Cricetulus griseus: one gene and its partner. The protein of the gene in region 1 purifies or fractionates together with the protein of each later gene. This does not show direct contact. Links are inferred from orthologs where the notes say so. Each region holds a gene or a part of one and is shown in the gene's direction. Other genes may lie near its edges.

Region 1 (3,815 bases):
GCTGCTCCCCTGTTTTCTGATGGGATGCTTGTTTGTAGCTGCTCCCTGTCTTCTGATGGGAGGCTTGTTTGGTTGGGTTTTGCTGTTTTTTGAGACAGTGTCTCAGCTGGGCAGTGGTGGCGCACACCTTTAAACCCAGCACTCAGGAGGCAGAGGCAGGTGGATCTCTGTGAATTTAAGACCAGCGTAGTCTACAGAGTGAGGTCCAGGACAGCCAGGGCTACACAGAGAAACTGTGTCTCAAAAGACGGAACAATAAAAAAGTGACAGGGTCTCCGTGCAGCCCCAGCTGTCCTGAAACTCACTAGGTACACCTGGCTGGCCTTGAACTCACAAGAGATTCACCTGCCTCTTCCTCCTGGTTGCTGGGATTAAAGGGTGTGCCATTGTACTGGCTGAGTTACCAATTTTTAATGATAATTTGGCTCAGATGTAGCCAATTGGCTTATTTAGCATTCAGAGAAAACAAATTCTGCCTGTCGGTGTGAATAGTCCTCCCATGTCAGAAGGGTCTTCTGAGAAAGACTTGGTCAGCGTCCTCCGAGGGAATACTGTCTGGTGACTGGGTATGTCTATACCTACAGGGAGAGACCGGCTGCGATATCTATTGAAATCAAGAGCATCGATGATACCTCCAACTTCGATGAATTCCCAGAGTCGGATATTCTTAAACCCACAGGTAACCCCCGCCCTCTGCCCCCGCCCGCCTCTGCAGCCTCAGGGCTGCATCCTCCCCAGCCGTTTTGGGGTGACATTTACAGATGCTCCTCAGAATGTGAAGGGGCACTTCTGATCCCTTGTAAGCGTTTATCAGTACTGTCGGGTAGCGTGAGACTACTAAATGGGACGTGAGTGAGTACAAATCTGTGTCTAGACTTTGAGCTGGCCAAGCATGTCACAAAACCTAACTCAGGTAAACTGAAATGACAGGAGCAAAAAAATAAAACTTTAAAAATATTTATTCAGAAATGGGAAATTCAGAGAACATAGGTAAGCAAAATAGAATTTTTGTTTTGTTTTTTTGAGACAGGGTTTCTCTGTGTAGCCCTGGCTGTCCTGGCACTTGCTCTTGTAGACCAGGCTGACCTCAAACTCACAGAGATCCACCTGCCTCTGCCTCCCAAGTGCTGAGATTAAAGGCGTGCGCCAACACCTCCCAGCGCAAAATAGAAAATTTGCACATTGAAGAATAATCCTTCCCGATTGGGAGCTGCGCTGTATTCTCCAGGGTGTCATGCCTCTGGGACTGAGCTGTCCTTGAGGTAGGACAGTGTCTCAGTCTCACCTGTCTCTTTGCCAGTGACAAGTAATCACCCTGAGAGTGACTACAAGAACAAGGACTGGGTCTTCATCAATTACACCTACAAGCGCTTTGAGGGGCTGACGGCCAGGGGGGCCATCCCTTCCTACATGAAGGCAGCAAAGTAAGACTGTGCTGAGGGCCCTAACTGGCCAGCGGTCCCTGTGCAGCACTGCAGCTCTCCTCTCACACTCTTGAAAGACTTCCAAGAAGTTTGTAGAACCCGTTAACACGCATAGTCAAGTCTCTGCAATGTGATTGTAAGTGGCTGTGCCTCCATACTGCACCAGGAAACTGATAGGACAAAGACAAGCATTTCTCCTCGGCCATAAGCAGCTGTCTTGCTTCTCTAGAAGCCCTACGAGCCAGTTTGCTAGGTGTTTCAAAGAGAATTTGAATCTCCTGAGTTCCTCAGAATGAAGGGGGGAAAGAGCCATCGCCCGCCATTACTGAGATTATAGACACTGAGTACCAGCCAATGCCTGTGTTGTGGTGAAATGCCACCTGCCAAGCCCACCAAGTATTTCTTTTCTCTTTATAGCTGAAAAATCTGTAGTTAAAGAAAACGCAATAATGAAAGTCTGTGTGAACACCCAACAGTGTGGCTGAAGGAACGGCCTCCGTTCTACAGGTGTGGGTGTTTTCTCCCCATACCTCAGCCTGCCCGAGTGACTTTCCACAGCCTTCATTCATGGTGCACTTTACTTATGGTACTAGGGCAAAGACCCCAAACCCACTGACCTATCTCCCCATCCCAAAGCCTCGTGCTGCTCTCCTGTTTTGGTAGGGAGGCACTAGTGTGACCCTTTGTTGCTGTTCGAAAGCCCACACAGCCACTGGGCACTGCCAAGGAGCTCTGGACCATGTGGCAACTCTCATTTTCTATACGAGACGATCTTGAGACACACACGTGCGCCTACCAGCAATGCCCGGCAGTGCTACAGGACAGCTTGTGCCTGAGAACACAGCAGAGAACCCAGGGAGGCTCAGGTGCTGCCATGCAAGATCTCCCAGCCTCCCAGCCTCCGTGGAAGTCAAGGCAGACCAGCCCACTGATGAGTAGTCCTCAGCTCACACCCAACTCATGGTGCAATTGTGTTTGTCTTGCTATTTCCCGATCCCAACTTTAAGTAGCCATTTTGCCTTGGAATCATGATTACAAATTTTTCCTTTGCAGATGCCTTCCTGGGGGATACTTGCCCCTGCACCCAAAAGGGTTGCCTGCAACTAGGGCTGCCTTGGCTCTGCTGTGGCATTCTGTCATGAGAAACACTGAATTTAGCACAAAGTGCCTTGTCTGCCACAGCTGCTGCCACCTTTGGAAAATGTTTGCTGCGTTAGAAAATGTGGAGGTTCTATGTTAATGCATTGTTAAGAGTTCGTTTCAAGTGTTGGTAACTGCTGAAGCATTATTTGCACCTGTGTGGTAACTCGCAGTGTCATGGCCAACCTATGACTGGGACTCGCTCTGCCAGTCTTGACACTGTGAAGGTCAGGTATGTCCTAGCTCAGCCATTCAGAGAATAGAAGACTTAAAACTGTAAGCAAAATGACTTTGGTTTTCATGTCTTAGGAAAAGAAAACAGAATGTTAGGAAGTCTTGACTCTGGGTAAGGGCACTGGCGGTGTTAGCTCCTTGAGCTGTCATTTAGAGCCTGGTGCAGAGGAGGTAGAAGGGCCTGTGGGTGGCTTTGAGCTATGTATTACCAAACAGTTGGGGTCCTGAACCCTGTGTGTTTGCAGGAGTGTGTGAGCATGGATGGAGAAGTCAGAGTAGTGGTAGACCCGTTGTGGTGGGGATGCTTCGTTCTGGGAAATGCCCACATTTTAACTATTCAACTTTTGAATAAACTGTGAAAACAGTAGTGGAACTTGGTTGTGGTTTTATTTCACGTGCCGTATTGAAAGTAGCTGTGGCCGGGTTTTGGTGACATGTGCCTTTAATCCCAGCACTCGGGAGGCAGAGGCAGGCGGATCTCTGTGAGTTCAAGGCCAGCCTGGTCTCCAGAGCGAGTGCCAGGATAGGCTCCAAAGCTACACAGAGAAACCCTGTCTCGAAAAACCAAAAAAAAAAAAAAAAAAGTAGCTGTGACCTGAAATCCAAGGAAGCAGAACACTGGTGGCCCTGCCCGATCTTTTTGTCCAGCGATATGGATATTGCACTGTTGCACTGTTCTCTTGATACAAAATGCTTTCTGTCTGGAGCTGGTCTTCTGAATTTATTCATTGAGAGAGACTATGGAGGCCCCTCCTATCTGTCTCTGTGCGGACAAAACACTTGCTGGACAGGTGGTGTCACTGGATCATCCAGGAATTTAAAACTTAAAATGTGGTATTTCTCAGTCCTAAATATTTGTTTAATTTATTTAAAAAAATCATTTATTGTGTGTCACAACTTTATGTGTGGTGATCACAAGACAACTTGTAGCAGTCGGTTCTTTATGTCAGCCAAAAGGGTCCAGGGGATCAAACTCAGGTCATCAGGCTTGTATAGCAAGTGCAATTACTGTTTTTC
Region 2 (3,815 bases), on another chromosome or scaffold:
TGACCCATTGGTATAGGTTTCTTGAACCTTTGAAATATTAATATAACAATAGCATAGAGGGGCAAAGAAATATGAAACAGTTTTTCATTACCTTAAATCACTTCCTTATACATTCAGAACTTTCTTAAGAACCTTGGAAAAGCAGCCTTTTGAAAGAGGTTTATGGTTCAGGCATCAGGTGCTGCCCCCTGCTGTCACACACATCTTAGAGCCCAGGTCTACAATACTTTCTCCCAGGATGTCTATAAAGTCATGACCATTTGGATTGGCTACCCAATAGCCCTGAACAGTCTGGCCTTTGGTGGTCTCTCTCCTTGCCTGCATCTGACGTAATTAGCCCAATTTGCAGGTCCTTCTCAGACCCCCATGGTTCCAGCTCAAATGGGACATGTGACATGTCATCCATGACATCCTTTCTTTCTTGGCAGGAAGTCTAAAGCCAAGCCAAACGGCAAGAAAACTGCTTCAGAGGAGAAGAAAGTATACCTGGAGCCAGAGCACACCAAGTCCAGGATCACCGACTTTGAGTTCAAGGAGCTGGTAGTGCTGCCCCGGGAGATCGACCTCAACGAGTGGCTGGCCAGCAACAGTGCGTGCGGGTGGGGAGGCGGGTGCAGCAGCTGCAGGGCAGGGAGCCTCCCCCCATCTCCAAGTACCCCTAGAGCAGTGGTCCATGGACAGGCCGAACTCAGCTGAACCTACTCCCTGTCACGCCAGCTGGAACAGGGGTGTTTACTCACCTGGACCTTTGCTTCTCTTCCAGCAACAACATTTTTTCACCACATCAACCTGCAGTATAGCACAATCTCAGAATTTTGCACAGGAGAGACGTGTCAGACAATGGCCGTGTGCAACACGTGAGTAGCAGCTTGGCCATAGCACCAGTTGGGAGTGTGGGATTGGTTGTGGTTGACCTTCTGTTCTGGCTACTAGCTTCTTAGAGTCCATTCTTTTTTTTTTGGGGGGGGGGAGCGGTTCGAGACAGGGTTTCTCTGTGTAGCTTTGGAGCCTATCCTGGCACTCGCTCTGGAGACCAGGCTGGCCTCGAAATCACAGAGATCAGCCTGTCTCTGCCTCCTGAGTGCTGGGATTAAAGGCATGTGCCACCAACGCCCGACTTAGATTCCATTCTTAACCACAATCCCTGCACAATCTCAGGCTAGGCAGGTGCCCAGCATTAGTGTCTCTGCTGGCATAAAAGATACTAAGAGCCATCAGAGGCCAAAGGCAGGCCATGCTTAGATGGTCCCTGAGCCTGCAGAGTGCTCAGTGTCCTAGGAGCTGCAAGGCTAAGTGAGCAGGCTCATTCTACTGGTAGAGGTGTCTGTTGACAACTTCTGAACAAGTCTAGTGCTGACAGCTATCTTCTGGATATATGTGTACATTCAGTGCTGTAGAATGCAGGTGACTTTAGGGTTTCCAAGATAACTCACCTTGCTTTGTGCGTAGGAAAGCCAGCAGTTCTGGGTTGATGGTAGGAGTGGCTGTGCTAATGCAGGCAGAAGGCTGAGTTTGGCAGGGCTCAGCCTAGGGTGGATGTGGCCAAGGAGGTGGAAGATCTTCCATGATGACTCCTCAAGATGCTGTGAACACATGGAAATGTACATGTGTATGCACATGAGCGCGCGCGCGCGCGCGCGCGTGTGTGTGTGTGTGTGTGTGTGTGTGTGTGTTGTACACTCAAACAGTCCTCCTTGTAGGTACAGATTTCCCCAGACAACAGCTCTGCTTTCAAGAGTCTGCTGTAAGTCTTGGTACAGCAAGTGACAGGAGTCCCCCATGTCTCAGGCCTGCTCACATAGCTCTAGTGGCTATAGCTCAGTTTCTGGCAATGTAGGGAGAACAGAGCCAGTTCTCTTCCCCAGGAAGAGACTGTGTCAGCTAATCATTGCCAGGGAAGGTGAGAAGCCTTGCTATAGACAAGCTCGGTGTGTGTGTTTAACAGAGGTGTGGCCTCTGAAGGACAAACCCATGTCAGATTCTGAGGTAGCACATGAGAGCATGTGCATAGCCTAGATAATACCAAACAGCATGGTACCCTTCCTAGCTTCTCCCATGTGCCTCTTAGAGCTGAATTTGTTTGGGAAAAGCTTTCTTTGGGGGGGGGAGGTTGAGACAGGGTTTCTCTGTATTGTTTTGGAGCCTGTCCTGGAACTCTGTAGACTCACAGAGATCCGCCTACTTCTGCCTCCTGAGTGCTGGGATTAAAGGCGTGCGCCACCAGTGCCTGGTCCCGAGGGAAAAGCTTTCTTGAGAGCATAGAAGCTAGTGTTGTTGCAGACCCGCATTCAGTGCATGCTGGAGAGCCTGGGCAGCTAAGCTTGCCGTTGGCTCACTTTGCAGAATCACTTAATAATTCCTACTATAATCCCTTTGAAGGAATCATGTGAGACCAAGGGATTTTGGAAACTCAAAATTAGTTTAAAAGGAAAAGTGGGTTAGTCAGATATCCACAGAACTCCTTGCTGTGTACCAGCCCTGGAGGTTTGCCTAGGTTAGAGAGGATCTGCATTAGGCTAGGTCTCATTTCTATTCTTGCAGCACTTGCAGGATAACCCCAAAAGGCCAGCATTGGGATCTAGGGAGCTAAGACACATTCAGAAACATGGTCAAACATGTCCCTCAGAGACACTCCTTTAAATTGACAGAGCTGAGTGAACCCTTAAGGACTCCTGTGAAATAACCCAGACACCAAGCACAGTAAAGGCCCTGTGGCATCAAAGGTAGTGAGTGCTGTGGGACTTGGAGAAGCACTCCATGTTTCACATGGCACAGAGAAGAGGCATTACTCCACATTATTTCACATCCAGCAGCCATGCCCTTCAGAAGCACAATTGAATGGACCACTGCATGGTATCTGATCTACTGTAGAAGAATTCCAACCAGTTCTTCAGCTGTGTGACAGCACAAAAGAGTCAGCATTAGGAGAAATAGAGACTCTTCTCTGGAGCTCTCAGAAGTTATTTGAGGGTGAAATGAAGTATGGTTTGACACATTCTCAGGTTCAGAGATGGGACATGTGAGCAATGGCAGTGAGAGGGGAGAGGTGCCTATTCCCTGTTAGTAACCACCTTTCCCCAGCTGTGAAACCCTGAACATGAAAAGCTATGTATGTACTTTGAAATTCTTTAAGTGATATGAAAACACACAGTCAGAACCATAATGGGTAAATTGAAATGGAATAGTTAAAAAAGTGGGCGTGGGGAGATACAGCCCCACATACAGCATGACCATGGATTATAAAGATAAAAACAGAACAAGCAGAAAACCAGCAATGGTAATGTAAATCCAGCAGATGAATGGCTGCTACTATGTGAGTATAAGAGTTTCAAAGAGATTTTTATGAACATATTCTTGTAGAACTAAGTCTGAGCCTCCCTGTGAGAAACACTCACCATCATCAGTCTGAACTGCCATAACCAAATGCCGGCAATGGAGGTTACTGAACAGCACTGGTATATCTTGTGGTTCTAAGAAGAGCTTCTTGGTTCATGAACAACAAACAGCTCTTTTTGAAAGGCATGAGTACTGGCCATGGGAGCTCTGCCACTCTGGCTTGATCACCCCCAGCTTGGACAGCATAGCAGAATTCTGTCTCTTATAAAACTTTAAACAGGGCTGAGGATATGGCTCAGTAGCAGAGCAATTGCTAGCATGCATAATGCTGAACTTCAGCATAAATTAGTCACTCACCAAATGAACACTCACTCAATCCAAATGTACACTTTGGCATATATAAGTTCTTCAATACTTATTAATGAATCCTCACTCCCAAGGTCATGGTATTAAGAACTAGGCTTCTGGAGGTGAGCCCC

What was found.
Region 2: the proteins of Stk38 (region 1) and Mob2 purify together in Homo sapiens (affinity purification with mass spectrometry; 7 studies listed by BioGRID and IntAct, with this or other methods). This does not show direct contact. The link is inferred for Cricetulus griseus from reciprocal best matches to the Homo sapiens genes STK38 and MOB2.

What each region holds. Positions count from the first base shown.
Region 1 is NW_023276806.1:257,481,506-257,485,320, reverse strand, and holds the end of Stk38 (serine/threonine-protein kinase 38), read left to right. Parts: intron 1-584; coding exon 585-679; intron 680-1,300; coding exon 1,301-1,428; 3' UTR 1,429-3,171; downstream 3,172-3,815. UniProt on the Homo sapiens protein: Serine/threonine-protein kinase that acts as a negative regulator of MAP3K1/2 signaling. Converts MAP3K2 from its phosphorylated form to its non-phosphorylated form and inhibits autophosphorylation of MAP3K2.
Region 2 is NC_048596.1:59,171,559-59,175,373, forward strand, and holds part of Mob2 (MOB kinase activator 2), read left to right. Parts: intron 1-428; coding exon 429-589; intron 590-763; coding exon 764-857; intron 858-3,815. UniProt on the Homo sapiens protein: Stimulates the autophosphorylation and kinase activity of STK38 and STK38L.